Linked DNA regions of Oryzias latipes. The protein of the gene in region 1 interacts with the protein of each later gene in a biochemical or structural test. Links are inferred from orthologs where the notes say so. Each region holds a gene or a part of one and is shown on either strand. Other genes may lie near its edges.

Region 1 (3,954 bases):
TGGAGGGAACTGAGGAGAATCAAAAAACACTAAGCTCTGAAAATAGAGGAAAAGGTTTCAGACAGCTGTGTGATGAAGAGCAACCATCACCAGACGAATCGCATTTCCTGCAAAAACGCCACGGGGAAGCTCTTCCTGTTTGCTGCCGTCCTCCAGCTGCCTGAGATGACGCGGCTGCAGCAACAAGGCGAATCCCACGCCGCTGCTCCTTCAGGACTGGGGGGTCAGCAGCACCTTCTCGTGGAGTGGAGATGGTGCTTCAGCGCCATCCAGAATATTCTTCCCTGAGTTTGAAGATGAAGCAGTCAAAGACCCGTGAAAATGATGTTTGTGGTGTTTTTCTGATGCTGGACTTTGGATCGGCCTTCCTGACCCTTTCTTTATTCAGATCCTTGTGAATCAGGAGCGGATGACAAAACGTCCTTTGATCAAGCTTTGAGCGGTGACATAGAAGCCTCCAGGCTCCGCCCCCTTCTGCAGACCAACAGATCCATGAAGGTCTCAGTTTTCCTGGTCTGAGCCGGAATCTGGATCTGAACTGGACGGATGGATGGATCTGATGTTGCTGCACCGCTAATGCTAGCTTGGGGGTGTGAGGGGCTGTACGCTAGAGGGGGAGAGTATAAACAAAAGGATGATGGGAAATGAGGGCAGGCTTACTCTGCACCAATAGTCCCACCCACAACCCAGAGGTGAATTTCTGATGAACTCCTGGCACTCTGCAGAAACTAAGTCCAAGAAAACGACCCAGATGTTTGGATTTTGGCTAAAAACAGTAACATCATCGTGAAAAGACTTTAGATCAGAAGAGGATTGGAGCGGGACTTTGACATTTCACAGTGACGGTCATGTTTGTCAACCAAACCTCTAGAAGAATGTGTTCAGAGGATTCTTTGTGTTTCATTGTCCTGCAGAAGGTTTGGCTGTAGACTTCATGTTTCTGACCTCTGACCTCTTCCTGTACTCAGCAGAAGATCTTTACCAACAGTAAAATGTTCAATAAAAGCACAAATCCATCGTGCAGTAACGACGCAGCTGTTGTGCTGCAGTGTCAGAAAAACAGCCTTTCTCCGCTACTTCATCCAGAAATCGCCTCCTGAAAGCTCCCACGCCCCCTGAAGGCAGCACGTCGTGTCTTTACGTCAGTGCGTGATATCCTTCCGCGTGGGTGAAACGCGCGGTCCTTTCCCTCCCGACGATTCAGGATGCGGATGGGCGGCTGCGGAGCTTCGACGCGCTGCTGTTTGCCTCGATCGTAAACATTTCCCCGCATCATCCGAGTCAGAAGCACCGAGCGAACACCGGAGAGCTCCCGCCTTTTCCGCAGCGAACCGAGTTCGCCCCGACGGCACCGACTGAGCACCGTGGAAGAAATATAATCCGCTGCGGCGGTGCGCGGCTACAGAACGTGTGAGAGACGAGAGCGGCGGCGGCGGCATGGAGCTCATTACCATCCTGGAAAAAACGGTCTCTCCGGGTAAGCGCCCACTCGCCCGTCCGCTGTTTGGGCTCCGGTTGGCGGTCCGGGTCTGCAGGAAGGACACCGGGCAGATGCTAGCTGGCAGGGCTAACGGTGCTAAGGCTCCGGCCTGAGTCGGGACTCGTCATTCGTGCGTTGCCGGTGCAGTTGGAACCCCGCCACCAGCAGGTAAAGTCCGGTAAATTTGTGGCCCTCAGCGGCGGGGAAGTTTCCGGTTTGCGGTGGCGAGCAGGAGCGCAGGCTGAAGCCGCAGGACCGGTTACCGGAGCGACCCTGCCCATCCATGCCATGCCGGCGCGGCGGCTGCTTTAGCCGTTAGCTTAATGCTAGCAGCCGCTTCCTTCTCGAGCCTCAGCGTCCTCGCGGGAGCGTTCAGCGGGCGCGTTAGGCTGCCAGCACTTGGCTGTTGAAGGCCGGTTCGGCTGGGTTCGGCGGCTGTCTGGAGAACCAAACGGACTCCTAACGAGCGCCTTTAGCAATGCTAGCATGCTAATCTAGCGCGCTTTACCCGTGGTTCAGACGCAGTCCGTGAACGCATCGTGCTCTGTTTTCAGGTCCGCGGCCCACGTGGGCCACTGATTAGGTGATGGCGGAAATGTCCGGGCCGACCCGGCCCGGGCGTCGGTGCGGCTGCAGGCCGGCCGGCGTTGGCTGACCTCTGCCCTCTCTCCGCAGATCGGAATGAGCTGGAGGCGGCGCAGAAGTTTCTGGAGCAGGCGGCGGTGGAGAACCTGGTAAGTTCGGTCTGCGGGGCGGTGCGGGGCGGCCGGGCGAACGGAGCATCCGTGATCAGCTGGCGCACGCGCACTCACTCAGTGAGCTCTGACGTCTCCCCCAAAGACCTGTGTTTCCCCTAAAGTCCAGTAATCCAGAGGAGGTCCGGAACCCCCTTCTTGATGGTCAGACTAGGATCAATCCCACAATGCTTTGCAGTCACGGGAGTGAAGCCATAAGCACTTCTGCTCTCCGTCCTCCGGTCATGCTAACAGATGTGGGTTTACCTGCTAGCATGACGCGGCATCATGTGACCTTTTTGGAACCAGGAAGTCCCGCCTGTGCCGTTACTGTGATGCTCAGACTGTATGTAATGATGCTGCAAAGCATGATGGGAGAGATTTTGGCTGCAGGCAGAGTCTGGACTAGAACCCTGAAGTGGCTTCGGTCTCAGGACCTCCTTTGGGTTTGGGGGCGGGCCTTCAGGTTTTCGTTCCACGGCGGTCCGAGCCTGAAGGCCCCCCGCTGATGTTCTCGTTCTCTCTCTCTCTCTCTCTCCCCCCCCCAGCCCACCTTCCTGGTGGAGCTCTCCAAGGTGTTGGCAAACCCGGGGAACACGCAGGTGGCCCGGGTGGCCGCGGGCCTGCAGGTGAAGAACTCCCTGACCTCCAAAGATCCTGACGTGAAGACGCAGTACCAGCAGAGATGGCTCGCCATCGACGCCAATGCTCGCCGCGAGATCAAGAACTACGTAAGTGCTGCTGAAGGCGGCTGTCTGAGCGGGGGGCGGAGCTTACCGGGTCCGTGTTTCTCCTGCAGGTCCTCCAAACTCTGGGCACAGAGACGTACCGGCCCAGCTCCGCCTCGCAGTGCGTCGCCGGCATCGCCTGCGCTGAGATCCCGGTCAACCAGTGGCCCGAGCTGATCCCTCAGCTGGTGGCCAACGTGACGGACCCGTCCAGCACCGAGCACATGAAGGAGTCCACGCTGGAGGCCATCGGCTACATCTGCCAGGACATTGTGAGTGACGCGTCCCGTCACGTGGGACCTGCCGGGCCCTCTCCAGGTTCTGGAGGGTTCTGGGCCCCTCCCACTGCTGCATGGCCTCATCGATATCAGACGGCGGTTTGTCCTCCATCCTCTGGTTTCTCTACGTTCCCGGTTCCTCAAAGCAGCAGACGCTTCGGTCGTTGCCGTCTGCGTCCCGGTTCGGGTTCGGACCGATCACGTCAGGAACCTTTGGTTCTTGTGGGATCAGAACCCGTCCTTCAGAGTCTCAGCAGGCGGCCCGATCCGTACGTTTGTCAGAACCTCCAGGATCTCGCTGCAGTTTTTTCTTTAGGGTAGATATTTTTCAGGAAGGAAGAAGAAACTTGAATTTAAGCTCCGCCTCCATGAGACGTCAATAAACAGAGCAGAATGTTTCAGCGTGAAAAGTGACATTTAGCCACAAAGTGGAAGTTTGTTTTCAGTTTTTATTCAAATGTGTCTGTTGGTCATTTGAACTTTGACCTCTGAGGTCTGAAATTCAGCTTCAAGCAGAGATTAATGGATGTCTCAGGTATTGATCACGTGGACTAAACGCTCAGATCAATAAAGAGGATCAATCAAACTGCTGAGGTTCTTCAGCTTCGTAGGGTTAAGCCGGTAGAACCAAGTCGGAGAATCGCTGCGTCCAGAACCGGCGCCGCTGCGTCCAGAACCGGCGCCGCTGCGGCCGATTTAAAATGGTGAATCGAGTTTTTCTGGTTTGAAACCTC
Region 2 (4,288 bases), on another chromosome or scaffold:
AGAAAATAAGAAACCAAGAGCATTAAGGGAAAGCTTTTGGGTTTTGAGGATATACATTTATATATAGATATATAAATAGATATCTATATATCTATCTATCTATATATATAGATAGATAGATATATGATATATATATTTTTATTCAAAATGTGTTTGTCTTCTGAAACAAAATGATATTGATTTAATGACTTGTACCAAATCAGTGAGAACTTAACCCTTGTGCTTTCCTGTGGGGTCCAGATGACCCGATCCTTACATTGACGTGTTCTTCCTACCATGACAAAGGTGGATTAAGGTGAATAGGATTTCATGTAATCCATGGACACCAGTGAAATCATTGAAGAAAAAATGTTCAGCGCACTGTCTTGTGGGGTCTAGATGACCCAACTCCCAATGTTAAAGTGACTCAGATAGCACAAAGGTTACAGCAGATTTATTAGTTCCCAAATGAATAAAGTAAATCTCTCATGTTGATGTTTTTTTTAATATTGGAACTTCAAATAAATGTAATTTTTATGAAGATTTTGGGTTTAAGGTGTTAAATATAAATATTCATAAAATATTATGGAAAAGTATAGTCATTTCCATGATTCCATTGAAAACATTGTCCAGATTAAAATAGTTTAAAACATCCGTGCCCCGCAGAATTTGGACAGATTTCACCACAGTATTCAGATTTACTAAAAGTTTGTTTTCGTGGTTTTAATGAGGTGGAACCCAAATTTATGTAAAAATAAATAAATATTAGAAATCAATTAAACAGTACACTATATTCAATTTTTAGATCTAATTATCCAAATGAATAGACTTTTCCATGATGCTCTATTTTTAAAATGGTATTCAATAAAAATCGTGATACTACTGATAATTTTGTAGTTGTAATATCGAATATAATGGCAACATGGTGTGAAACTGGGAATTACATTTTTAGCATTGTATTGTAGAGAAAAAAGACAGTTCTCCGATCTAGAATGCCTTACTTCTTAATACTATGCCAAAATTGAGCAATCCTATTCCCTTTTTTTATTCAGATTTTGACTGCCTTATGAGAAATAGCATAAACTAATTCATTATATATATATATATATATATATATATATATATATATATATATATATATATATATATATATATATATATATATATATATATATATATATATATATATTATATAATATAGTATAATAGTACATAGTATAATATATAATATATATATATCTAATATATATATAATTTTATTATAATAAAAAGAATTTAGAATTTTACAATTCCCTAATGAAAACTCCTTAAGAAATGATGCGACATGGATAGGGTTTTAGTGAAATGACATATTTAAGTTTAGGTGATCACGAATCAAACGTCTGCCTTCCTAAACATGAGCAGACGTGAGTCGGTATAATGCGGTGTCTTCTGCACACAGACGTGAGCGGTGAAACCAATGAGAGTGAGGGGGATTTCCCCACCCTTCCCTTACGCCAGAGCGAGGCTGCCCTCTACCACCGGCATTCCCAGTATGCACCGCGGACCGAGCAGCAAAAAATAGTCCACTAACGAAAGACTGCGAAAAGGGAACCAGAAACAGATAGCTTACCGGCTAAAACTCTGTCCAGTAATATTTAACGTAATCAGAACTACTAACATGGCCGACAACGAGAAACTGGACAACCAGCGACTAAAGAATTTCAAGAACAAGGGCCGAGATTTGGAGGTAAAAGTTGCGAAGATCGGTGTCCTCGCTTTCGTCTGCACAGCCGCCGCGCTCAGCCTTGCCCCTCGGCTCCGTTGTGACGTCGTTTCTAATTTACACCACGGGCAACTTTGCTGCCAGAAACTGGCGAGGGCCTTCAGAAATCAGTGTTTATTGGAGGCTGGAATCGTTGGGTCAATTTCGAACTGGTTTCGTTTTATCCCGAAACCGTGTTGGGTGTAAAACATGTCAGAAAAGCCTCCGCTGGATCAGCTCTGCTAGCCACCAGCTAGCAAGGCCTCCGGGAACATGCTAACTCCACTGATGCATATCATCCCCCAGTTCGGTCTCGCTCGGTCAGAAATGTTAACAGCTTGCATACAATTATTTACAAAGTACTTTTACGTTATCTTCTGAGAATGTGGTGTTAAGTTAAGCTAAAACAACGACAGATGTTCGTACTTCTAACATTGCAGTTAGCCCAACTGCGTGCTAGGTTAGCGCGGCGGTGCTGTTGGCTGCAGTTCCACCCATCCCCCGTCTTTATAATCAAAAACAATGGCGGAAACAAGTAAGCTTCTAACATGACCACTTATATTAGGCTCAAGTCCACACCAATAGTAATATAGTTCTATTTTATGCGTTAATAGGACGTATTCTCAGGAGAGCAGTCTCCCCTTAACACGTTTACTACATGATTCATAGATCAAAGCTGGACGTTGGTTCATCATGTCGGATCAATAAGTTACCAGGTGATTTACAGTCAGGTCAACGCGTAGCTGTTAATGCATTCCAGCTAGTATTGATATCGGTTTCAGGTGGGGTTGCAGACGCAGGAAACCACGCATCCTGTTTGAGAAGGTACATATATGTTGCGAGGGGGGCGTCGATGATTGTTACGTTAATTATTCGACTTTCAACTCGAGAACCGCGCGTGAAATTCGTTTCTCCAATGATAAACTTTAAGCATCAACACCAAGGTTCAATACTTAATGTAAATAACTTCTAATGCATGCAAAGGTTCACGAGGAATTGAGTCAACAAACATTGTCAATTTGCATTTACTTTGCCTCCACTGTGTGCATCTGACGTAGAATTGTTTCAGAGGGCGGCGGCCACGTGGGACAGTAAAGCTGCACCTTTACCGTGAATAGAAACACATCTAATGTCACATCATGCACTGCAACCTGTAGACATATCCGCTTCTGAAATAAATTTGGCTTGATGTAATTACTAAGCTGGTAGCTGAGGGAGGAAGTGCGTGCGATTTTCAAGATGTTTTTAGTGGGTTACCAGATCACTTCTCTCATTCATAGTTCTATTTTAAGTCATCTCTGTCATATGACATTAATATGTTTACTATTTTTGGTCAGTGTTATCACTAATAAAACAACTGACTGTGTGGACACAATTGAGACATAACTGGTCATAGTGAGGATCCTAACAAACTATGGTTTTAATATTTGCAACAGGTTTTGCTTGACTAGAAATCGAATAAAGTAATGGGTAGATGAATAATCTTGTATAGGAAAACCCTAAAAGTGATCCTTAAGGTCTTCTTCCAGTCATGTTGTTTTGTTGTAACTATTAACCTGCTTTTTCTTTTTTATTGAAAAAGCTTGCTATACTACCATTTCCTAAAAATGCAGTTCCCATTTTTGCCATTTTACTTTTTTTTCTTTTTGCATATGATACAAATATGTCAAAAAAGAACAATGAAACCTGAAAATGTAAAAATGATGTATCGGTCAGGTACTGTAGTTCTTAAAGCTGAGTTACATTTAGTCAGACTTGTGATACTCATTTGTAGTTGCAGACCTCTGCTTTATAGATGCTGTAGACTTAATGCCCAGACGACCTGCATCATCAATACCCGAATATACACAGTACCCTGATATTCTCATTTATTTCTCTAAATTTGTTTGGAAGGTTGAAATTTCCTAATTTAACTAAATTTAATATTTTCCTTGCAGACGATGAGAAGACAAAGGACTGAGGTTGTCGTGGAACTTCGAAAGGTAAATAAACTCTTTACTTAAGCCATTATTTAATTAATATTGCAGAATGCTCTCAGAATTGAATATTCAGCTATATTTTATATATACTTTGCAGTAACATAAATGGATGATTAGTGAAGTGAGCTCACTAACTTTTTCATTACAGAACAAAAGGGACGAGCATCTGCTGAAGAGGAGAAATGTTCCCCACGAGGACCTCTGTGAGGACTCTGATCTTGATGGAGATTTCAGATCAGTGAGTTTATCTTTCAAATATTCCTTTTTTACACCATTATTCAGAAAAACCATATATTGCATGTTTGAATTGCAATACTACTATTAGCAACAGGGATGACAGCTTGTCAGATATGGTATAGACTGAATTTGTACTGAGATTTTGTACATTTTTGGAAAGTCTTCAGATGCTGAGCAGGTTAGGTTTAGACTTTTGCATTTAGGATGCTGCTTTATTTTGTACTGACTAGGTGGGGCAAGATTGTTTCAAAGTGTGCAGTTTGTCTTGCTATGTACTCATTTTTCTTGATCAATGTGCACAAAAGCTTCAGTTGTTGCTCAAGATACTTACAGGCACAAAGAATGAAGC

Evidence for each region.
Region 2: the proteins of kpnb1 (region 1) and kpna4 form a complex in vitro, tested with the Homo sapiens proteins (2 studies listed by BioGRID and IntAct, with this or other methods). The link is inferred for Oryzias latipes from reciprocal best matches to the Homo sapiens genes KPNB1 and KPNA4.

The regions. Positions count from the first base shown.
Region 1 is NC_019866.2:174,195-178,148, reverse strand, and holds the start of kpnb1 (importin subunit beta-1), read left to right. Parts: upstream 1-1,149; 5' UTR 1,150-1,437; coding exon 1,438-1,477; intron 1,478-2,155; coding exon 2,156-2,214; intron 2,215-2,762; coding exon 2,763-2,945; intron 2,946-3,013; coding exon 3,014-3,214; intron 3,215-3,954.
Region 2 is NC_019871.2:13,522,541-13,526,828, reverse strand, and holds the start of kpna4 (importin subunit alpha-3), read left to right. Parts: upstream 1-1,477; 5' UTR 1,478-1,639; coding exon 1,640-1,708; intron 1,709-3,660; coding exon 3,661-3,705; intron 3,706-3,850; coding exon 3,851-3,940; intron 3,941-4,288. UniProt on the Homo sapiens protein: Functions in nuclear protein import as an adapter protein for nuclear receptor KPNB1. Binds specifically and directly to substrates containing either a simple or bipartite NLS motif.